2 linked regions of the Danio rerio genome follow. The protein of the gene in region 1 purifies or fractionates together with the protein of each later gene. This does not show direct contact. Links are inferred from orthologs where the notes say so. Each region holds a gene or a part of one and is shown on either strand. Other genes may lie near its edges. The genes, in order: parp12b and rnf114.

Region 1 (4,338 bases):
TATTCCATTCTGTCTTATTCTACTCTATCTTATTCTATTCCATCTTATTCTATTCTATTAAATGATATTATATTATATTCTGTCTTATTATATTCTGTTATATTCTATCTTATTCTATTTTATCTTATTCTGCTCTATTCTATTACTCTGTTCTATTCTATCTAATTCTATTCTATGTTATTCTATTCTGTTCTATTCTATCTTATTCTATTCTATTCTGTTATATTCTATTCAAAATAGCCAGAGATCTATTTTTAGCTGTAATTGAGCTACTTGCGGTATTAACTATACATCCTACATAACCCATTATTATTGTTTTTAACTCAGTGTTATTCGTATTAAAATAGGTCTTGTGTTCATAACACTTGTTTGTATTTATAACACTTAGATTTATTGTTACATTAAGTATAATTAATACATATAAAATTAATAAACATATTATAAACAAAATGAAAGTGGCAGAAAAAAAGTAAATATATCTGCCTGTTTGTCTGTTATGGAGTCAGAACAGTCGCAAAAATGATACATTTGTATTCATAAAATTAGTAAAGTAAAAACACAATTCATAAATCCACAACTTTAATTCATAAATTCATCAATAGGGTATATGCAGAAGTATGCAGAAGGACTTTTAATTTTGCAGTAATCTGGGTCAATTAACTGTTTGCAGTTACAAAATCTGCACGTTTAAGGTCTGTTTTCCTTACGAATCAATGATCTCCACTGCCTGATAGATATACGATATAAAGTGGGTCTCAGATTGTACAAGAAGCATTACATTAAATTACATTTTCTCGTGCCATGTCTTTAAAATATGAACATTCATTTTGCTCCAGTATTTTCAGCTGTGTTTCTGCAGTAGCCTGCTGATACTGACAGGAGCATGCATGTAAATGGCTTTTCATCTCGGTTTACGCTTCGACAACTAAATGAATGCTGAAGTCTATTGAACTGATCATATTTTAATTACATTACAACATCGATGCTGTAAAAGGAATTGTATAAAATTTTAAAAAGTCACATTAACCGTTCACCGGAAGTTTATTGGTATGGGAAGAAAACAGTAGATGAGCAAATACCCTATTCAAATGTAAAAAGCAAAAATATTTCCCAAACGCTCACACATATCTTAAAAACATTTAAAATGGATTAAAATGGTTCTTGGGTTACTTTCCTCATGCATTTGTGAACATGTTAGATGTATTTATGAACCCCTGAATGTGCATTGGAAAGTGCTCCCAAGAATATGGAGTCCTTTAAATTTGTGTGGGGTATTTTTAAGACCTTTCTGGCAGGACATGATTCGATACAAATCTTTTTTTGGAGGAGTTGTGGATTTATGAATAGTGCTGTGCATTTATGAATTTTATAAACGCAAATGTATTGTTTTTGAGACTGATCTGGCTCCATAGTCTGTCCGTCATAGTTGTTTTCACGAGACTTTTATTTTGAAAATGATTGGCACTGGAAACTTGGTACCGAATCTTAGCACTACGTTATTGCAGTTTCCGCTTTCATTTATGTAGAAACGAAGACTCAAAAACATCGAAGTACAGTCAGACTGGAGCCCACCCGAGGCTCTCATCTCTATGTCCGATATGTCGGACTGCACTCGGGTCATACATTATGCGACCAGCATATTATGCAGCAATAAAGGCTCCATGGAAATGTCCCAGCTGCACCGGAGGGTCTTCCAGCGTTTTGAGATCAGCGAAGCAGATTTTTGGTACATCGTCAAGAAATGCGCCCGCTTCGTTATGGTCCAGAGCAGACCCGGAGAGGAGGATGCAGAATCAGACTGCACAGTTGTCGCCAAGACATCTCTGAGACTCTGCAAGAAATATTCCAAGAATGAATGTTACGAGTGCCAAGACTTGCACCTCTGCAAGTATTTTGTCTACGGGAACTGCAGATATGGAAAAGGAAGGTAAGTTTGAGAGAACATTTTTAAGCGGTATCTCTTTAATGTAAGATTTTCCTGTCATGTTAGTGAAAAATAAAAATATATGGTAATTAATAAAATGTTAATGATGTAGTTTATACATAAAATACACATGCGTTAAAGGGAAAGTTCACCAAATGACAATGTCCTCACCATTTACTCACACTGAGCTGTGGAAGTCAATAAACCGCTTTGTTTTTCCCAATTCTTCAGAGTATCTTCCTTTGAAAACATAAAAAGAAACTCAAATAGCTTGGGAAAGTGAGTAAATGATGAAAAAAAGTTCAGTTTTTGGGAGAACTATCCCTTAAATGCAAAATAAAATTGTTATTCAGTTATAAGTATTAATTTATTGAAATTAATGATGTCAATTTATTATTGTAGGTTCTGTTTAACCCATTGATCATTTTGTGTAGTATAGTTTTATGATTACTTGGCCTTCTTTGCTTTTGTTTATTTGTTTTTTTAAACGCTTATAAACATGCATTCAAATATTTTGATGCACTTTTTAAATGTATTTTTCCACATTTCAGACTGATAGTATAACAAATATGATTGAATTTAACTTGGCCAACAATTAATCATTTTTAAATTATTACAATCAATATAATTGTACATAACTGATTATTATTACAGCATTATTCATTAATAATAATACTTTTTCATTATAATAAAAAAATGCTTAAATGCTTCATATTTTCTATGGGGATATAAAATATAATGATTGATTGTTTAAAAATACAAAAAATCTGCATATTATATAGCATACACTTTAAAACGCAGTTTGACTACTTTAAAAAGTGAGTAAATCTATTGAAACTTGGAACGGTTAAATTGATTTTAAGTTTTATAATTATGCATATAATTTGTTTACTTAATCATTTTAAGGTAATGAGATTACTTGTTTCTCCTTTGAAAGCATGAAAAGGAAGTCAAATAGCTGTGAATGATGAAAGAATGTTCAGTTCTTGGCCGATCTTTCCCTTAAATGCAAAATAAAATTGTTATTTAGTTATTAGTATTAATTTATTGAAATTAATAATGTCAATTCATTATTGTAGGTTCTGTTCGACCCATTGATCATTTTGTGTAGCATATTTTTATGATTACTTGTCTTATTTTTGTTTATTTGTTTTTTTGAACACTCATAAACATGCATTCAAACTTTTATTTTTCCACATTTTAGATTGATATAACAAACATGATAGAGTTTAACCTGGCAAATGGTCAACGTTTGTTCATTTTTTATTTATTACAATCAGTATTAGGTTTCATTTTATGTAACAGATTATTATTACAACATAATGCATTAATAATAATACTATGTCATTAACATCAATAATAACACACAACATTGCAATTTAAATATATGTATTTTTCAACATAATTAGACTAATAATAATAATAAAAAATGCTTCATATTTTTAATGGTAGTATGAAATATAATGATAGATTGGTTAAAAATACATCAAATCTGCATAAAAACAAATAAACCTATTGTCTTAAAAACAACAAGTTGACTTTACTCTAAAAAGTGAGTAAATCCATTGCCATTTGGAATGGTTAAGACAGGGGTGCGCAAACTTGGTCCTGGAGGGCCGGTGTCCTACAAAGGTTAGTTCCAGTCCCAATCAGACAATCCTGGGCTAGCTAATCAAGCTATAGCCTTTCTAGAAACATCCATGCGGGTGTGTTGAGGCATGTTGGAGCTAAAATCTGCAGGACACCGGCCTTCCAGGACCGAGTTTGGCCATCACTGGGTTAAGACTTAACTTGAATTTTATAATTATGTTCATAATTCATTTTCTTTATAGATTTAAGGCAATGAGTTACCTCACTTTTTTAAGTAAAGCCAACTGATCGCTTTAAAAGCAATGCGTTTACTCACTTTCCTTAAGTAAAGCAAACTAATTGCTTTTTACAGCGTCAGAGTGTTAATGTTCAGTTTCTCTTTGTTAACCAAACATCATTCCATACATTTTGTGTTTGTGTTAATCAGGAAGGAGTGTAAATTCTCTCATAACATCCAGTCACAGCATAACTATCCCCTGCTGCGCGAGTGTACGCTTCATGAACTGAACGAGGACGATCTTTTCCTGCTTCTACTCCAAAACGATCCCGCCCTGCTGCCAGAGGTGAGGAAATGCAAACAGGAAGGCTAATTTAGTCACCTAAATGTTTTTGGACTCCTTTCTCTTGAGAGAATTCCTGCCCAAAGCCGAACTCATGCTATGATTGGGATATTTCTGCATTCCAGGTACCTGTCCTGCCGTTTGAAACACCAATCTCCTTTCAGATGCGTTCAGAGTAGATCAGAGTTCACGTAACCGCTCATATGTTTGTTTTGGCATGCAAAAATCAGCTGCTTGGTTACACCCAAAAAAACAGCGTCACAA
Region 2 (4,459 bases), on another chromosome or scaffold:
AGACTTGCGTGTAAGAACACCCGTTCGGTGTCATGTAGCGCAGGGCAGCACCATTACCAAGCCGCCCTCCTCCCCATCATCCAGCGCTCCTTACCTTCATGTTCCGCTGGAAATCCCCACCGCCGCACTGCGCATGCGCCACACTACCTCCCATGCGCGCTCCCGAGGCCGCAAGCTGCAGTCAGGACTAGCGCTGGGATTCGGATTCATTCAGCGAGTCGGTTCGGCCACATATTTTGATTCAATGGAGTCATTTAACAGCAAAAAGCAAATATATCCAGATAAATACAGACTTAACTAAAACATAAAAGAAAATAAATTAACTAAAAATCTATTTAAATATTCAAGAATGAATAAAAACACGTAACCTCAATATAAAAACTTTTACAATATCAGCAGCTATAGGTAAGACATTATTTACAATAGACAGCAAGTTTTCTATTCAATTAGCTTCAACTCCTTTGCAACTATCATCGTATTTTGACATTTCTTGCTATCAATACACTGTAGCGAGTATATTTAAAAATTAAAATCTATAATGAATACCTTTAAGATTTAGTATTATTCCTTCTACGGATATGAAATTTACCAAATAAAATCAAAATATTCATTATAAATTCCACAGATAGTTTGTTTCAGTCAAAATAAATTAGCACATGATGTTAAATTCCATCTAAAACCCGATACATACAGAGATAAGTCATCCCAAAACTTCTTTTAATGCTGACATTCAAAAGACTCTGAATGATCTAAACAGAATGAACAATTTTCATCAATTTGCATGAATTTAGATAATGTATTAATACTAACATAAATGTTCAAATCAATCATTCTAAAAAATATCCTCTAGGCTTTAAGGCTCTGTTTAAAAAAATACCTTTGATTGTACATGCTTTACTAAAAAAAATCTAAATAGTGTACACAGGATCAGTTCTATGAATTCTATTTTAAATGTGAATTGTTCCATTGTTTATGAATGTCTGGATTTTTATATTTCTACCAACAAATTTTTTGAGAATAATATTAAATAATACACAACATGTGAAATAATAATTTTTTAAGTAAAAATTGCAACATATAACTAAGAATTGCATTTTTAAGATTATTCTCAATTGTGAAATTGTATGTTAAATGCTAATATTTTGATCTACGTTTCTAACAAGACAAATGCAAGAATTGCGAGGTCAGATGTTGTTTTTAGATTTTACAGGCATTTATTTACTATTCTGGGATAAAAAAAAAGCTATGTAAAAGTTAATTAAGATTTGCGAGATATATAACTGTCACATATAAGTATATTTTATTTTCTATTTGAATGTTTATTTATTTTAATGAATCGAAGTATACTTTTTAGATTACTTTTCTAAAACGTCGCCCGTATTCAAGTTTCACTCCTAAAAATGTTCTACTTTCATTAATTCTGGTAATAAATGAAAGCAATTATTCTAATTTGCTTTGGAAAGACTTCCCCCTTTGTGTAATGTAATTATATATATATATATATATATATATATATATATATATATATATATATATATATATATATATATATATATTAAATATAAATATATATGTAATTAAATATATAGTTTAGGGTAGGCTTAGAAACTTTTTTGACATTTGTAAATCATATACTATTTTCTTTTAATTTATGATGATGTAAATATCCTTATGCATTTCTTTTAAAACATTTTTATTTAAAGTTTTCATTTTTTTTTTCTTTATACTGTGACTAGATTTTGCATTGCCCATCAATAATAAAAAAAGTAACGTCAAAAAAACTTCTACGTTCTTATTTTACAGTCTGATTCAACCTCCAATCGAGTCATTTTCACATTCATTCATTCGGTCGGTCATTTAAAAGAGCCGGTTCAAATGACTCGTTTATGCATCGGAGAGCACTAGCGAGATCTCGCTTATAACTACGCACGTAAAAGACAACACAGCCACAACAGATGTAGCCTACTATATGTTGCATTTATTTGTTAGCAAACGGCTATTTTTATTTGTCGTACGTCTAATAAGAGCTGTAATGTTGTTTCTCGTTCATGTGCATCAGGAGATCAGCTGAGTTGTTGCTCCTCCCCTCACAAAAGTGAATCTCACTGGAGTTCAAGAACACGGAACACAGCGCAGCAGAAATGGCCATGCTCAAAATAGACCCGCAAACCGACGTAAACGATGCTGAAGACGACGACTTCGTGTGTCCCGTGTGTTTGGAGATATTCGTCCGGCCCATGACCACGCAGTGCGGACATACGTGAGTATTCTGGAGAGCTCATGTCTGCTAGCAGCAACTTCTCGGTTGACATGTTGAGTAGTTTAATGTTAATCCCCTCATCACCTCAAAGCGATTCACAACCTTCGTGACCTCCGCCTTAATCTTAATGTGATTGTGTTGGACACTGTTCAGTAAGTGCTGTTGTTGTGCGATTTTTTTTATAAGACAGAAACTGGTTACTTTCAGTTTTGCTTCTTGTGTACAAAACTTTGCAGTGTGGGATTGTGGGAGTTGTAGTGTACACGTAATTAGAACCGGAAAACAACACCCAGCGCCTGTCTTGTCAGATCAGATGTGGCCTTTCAATTACAAGCATTCCTGGCAAACATCAGTTAAAAGTGCAAAATAATAGCATTTACAGAGTATTTGTATTTGGTTAAGGTGCTGTAGGCAGTGTAGGGAAGGCGGTTTTTAAAATGTATTTCACTTTAGATTAATAACGTGTATTTTTAAAAAAGTTAAGTTACTCAATCTGTTTGGAATATTAATTATTAATAGAGCAGTAAAGAAAAGTGGAATCCACAAAACATTAGACATTTTTAATTCATTTTTATTTATATATCAGTTACTCAAAAAGGCAATATAATGATTTTTAATGAACAATTGAGGTAAATTGTACTTATTTAGTATTAGTATTAGCTGCTGAAGCACAGTGATAATTGAAAATGTATACTTTAGTTTGTGTAAAAGTTTACACCCCCTGCTCTTAATGTGAATGTGCTGAGTGTCAGGAAACATTTTCACTTTCGGTAAATGTTTTGCTTGAGTTCGTCAGTAAACATGGGCATCACAATCACACAGTCACTGTTGTAGGGCTGTAAAAATATAAAGAAGACGCAGTAAACTGAAGAATTTGCAGGAGCTGAAGGCCTTTTCTAAACTACAGCAGCTGGTTGAACTCTTCAGGACAATCAAATGACTCATTAAAAACCATCACAAACATTCATACAGTTGATTCAGGGGTGTGTAAACATTTCAACAGGATAGATTTAGTCAGTTATTATTTTGTCTTATATGTAAATATCTAGCTCATGTGGAGTAGTACCAGTGGTGTAGCGGACGGGCCAGCAGGGCACGCTCCGCGGGGGGGCCCCGCGTGATTAAGGGCCCCGCCTTGTTGCGATTTTTAATAATTGAAAATCCGGCAACCACAATAATCAAACCCCTGGGAACAACTGTGGTCGGAACCAAAGTTCCCAGGTCTGTGTTCTCTCAACTCCTCTCAAACGGTGGACTACTTCATTCTGATTGCTTGCCGCCGAACCACATCATAGCATATTACCATAAAGTTGACTTGATTTCAAGTCCTCCTCGATGCCCACACCGGAGAAGACTCGACGCGCTGCTCCTCGCCACCGGTTCTCATTGAAATTGAAGGACTTCCGGCTACTTTGACGCTCTCGCTGCTTGTTTGTGAAGGCTACCCCGCGTCGTCGCTCCACCCCGCCCCCCTTTCCCGCTCCTTAGTTTGTGATGGCTCCTCAGTTTGTGAAGGCTTCCCCGCGTTGTCTTTCCACCCCGCCCCCCTTTCCCGCTCCTCAATTTATGATCGCTTCCTCGCGTCGTTGCTCCACGACTCTCCGTGTCCCCTCAGTTTGTGATTTCCCCCCCATCAGTGGGCCCCATTAGTGATCCCTGCAGGGGGGCCCCCACATTTTGCGCTATGCCACTGAGTAGTACTCAAAACTAGCATTCACTATGATCCATCCTATTTTGTTGAAATTATTAAAATTATTGTATTCTGCAAGGCAGGGTGTGTAAATAGTACTCATAGTACTCTTCGTTATAGTAGTAGTACTAGTCATCGTCATCGTTATGGTAGTAGTAGTAGTGGTGGTGGTGGTGAATGATGCATAAGCTGGGGACACTTCAGCAATGTCCAGTTCATATATTCTGATGAGTGATTTTTTTTGTTTAATTATTTTTTGTTTTCAACTGAAAGCACTCAATTGCAGTGTTTTTCTCTCTCTTCCGCTCAGGTTCTGTAACGACTGCCTTCAGGAGTGTCTGCGGCCCCAAAGCCCAGTGTGTGCCGTCTGCAGGACTGATCTGCGCAAGTGGGCTAAAGATGACCATTTACAAGACCTTATGAAGAGATCAATCGGAAAGTGCAAAGGCTGTAAAAATGAGGTCAGTCAAGTTTACATGGACACCAATAATCTAATTATTTTTCTTAAT

Evidence for each region.
Region 2: the proteins of parp12b (region 1) and rnf114 purify together in Homo sapiens (affinity purification with mass spectrometry; 3 studies listed by BioGRID and IntAct, counting the BioPlex papers as one, with this or other methods). This does not show direct contact. The link is inferred for Danio rerio from reciprocal best matches to the Homo sapiens genes PARP12 and RNF114.

The regions. Positions count from the first base shown.
Region 1 is NC_133179.1:10,382,188-10,386,525, reverse strand, and holds the start of parp12b (protein mono-ADP-ribosyltransferase PARP12b), read left to right. Parts: upstream 1-1,477; 5' UTR 1,478-1,589; coding exon 1,590-1,927; intron 1,928-3,941; coding exon 3,942-4,077; intron 4,078-4,338.
Region 2 is NC_133198.1:3,522,237-3,526,695, reverse strand, and holds the start of rnf114 (E3 ubiquitin-protein ligase RNF114), read left to right. Parts: upstream 1-1,632; 5' UTR 1,633-2,141; coding exon 2,142-2,260; intron 2,261-4,260; coding exon 4,261-4,411; intron 4,412-4,459. UniProt on the Homo sapiens protein: E3 ubiquitin-protein ligase that promotes the ubiquitination of various substrates. In turn, participates in the regulation of many biological processes including cell cycle, apoptosis, osteoclastogenesis as well as innate or adaptive immunity.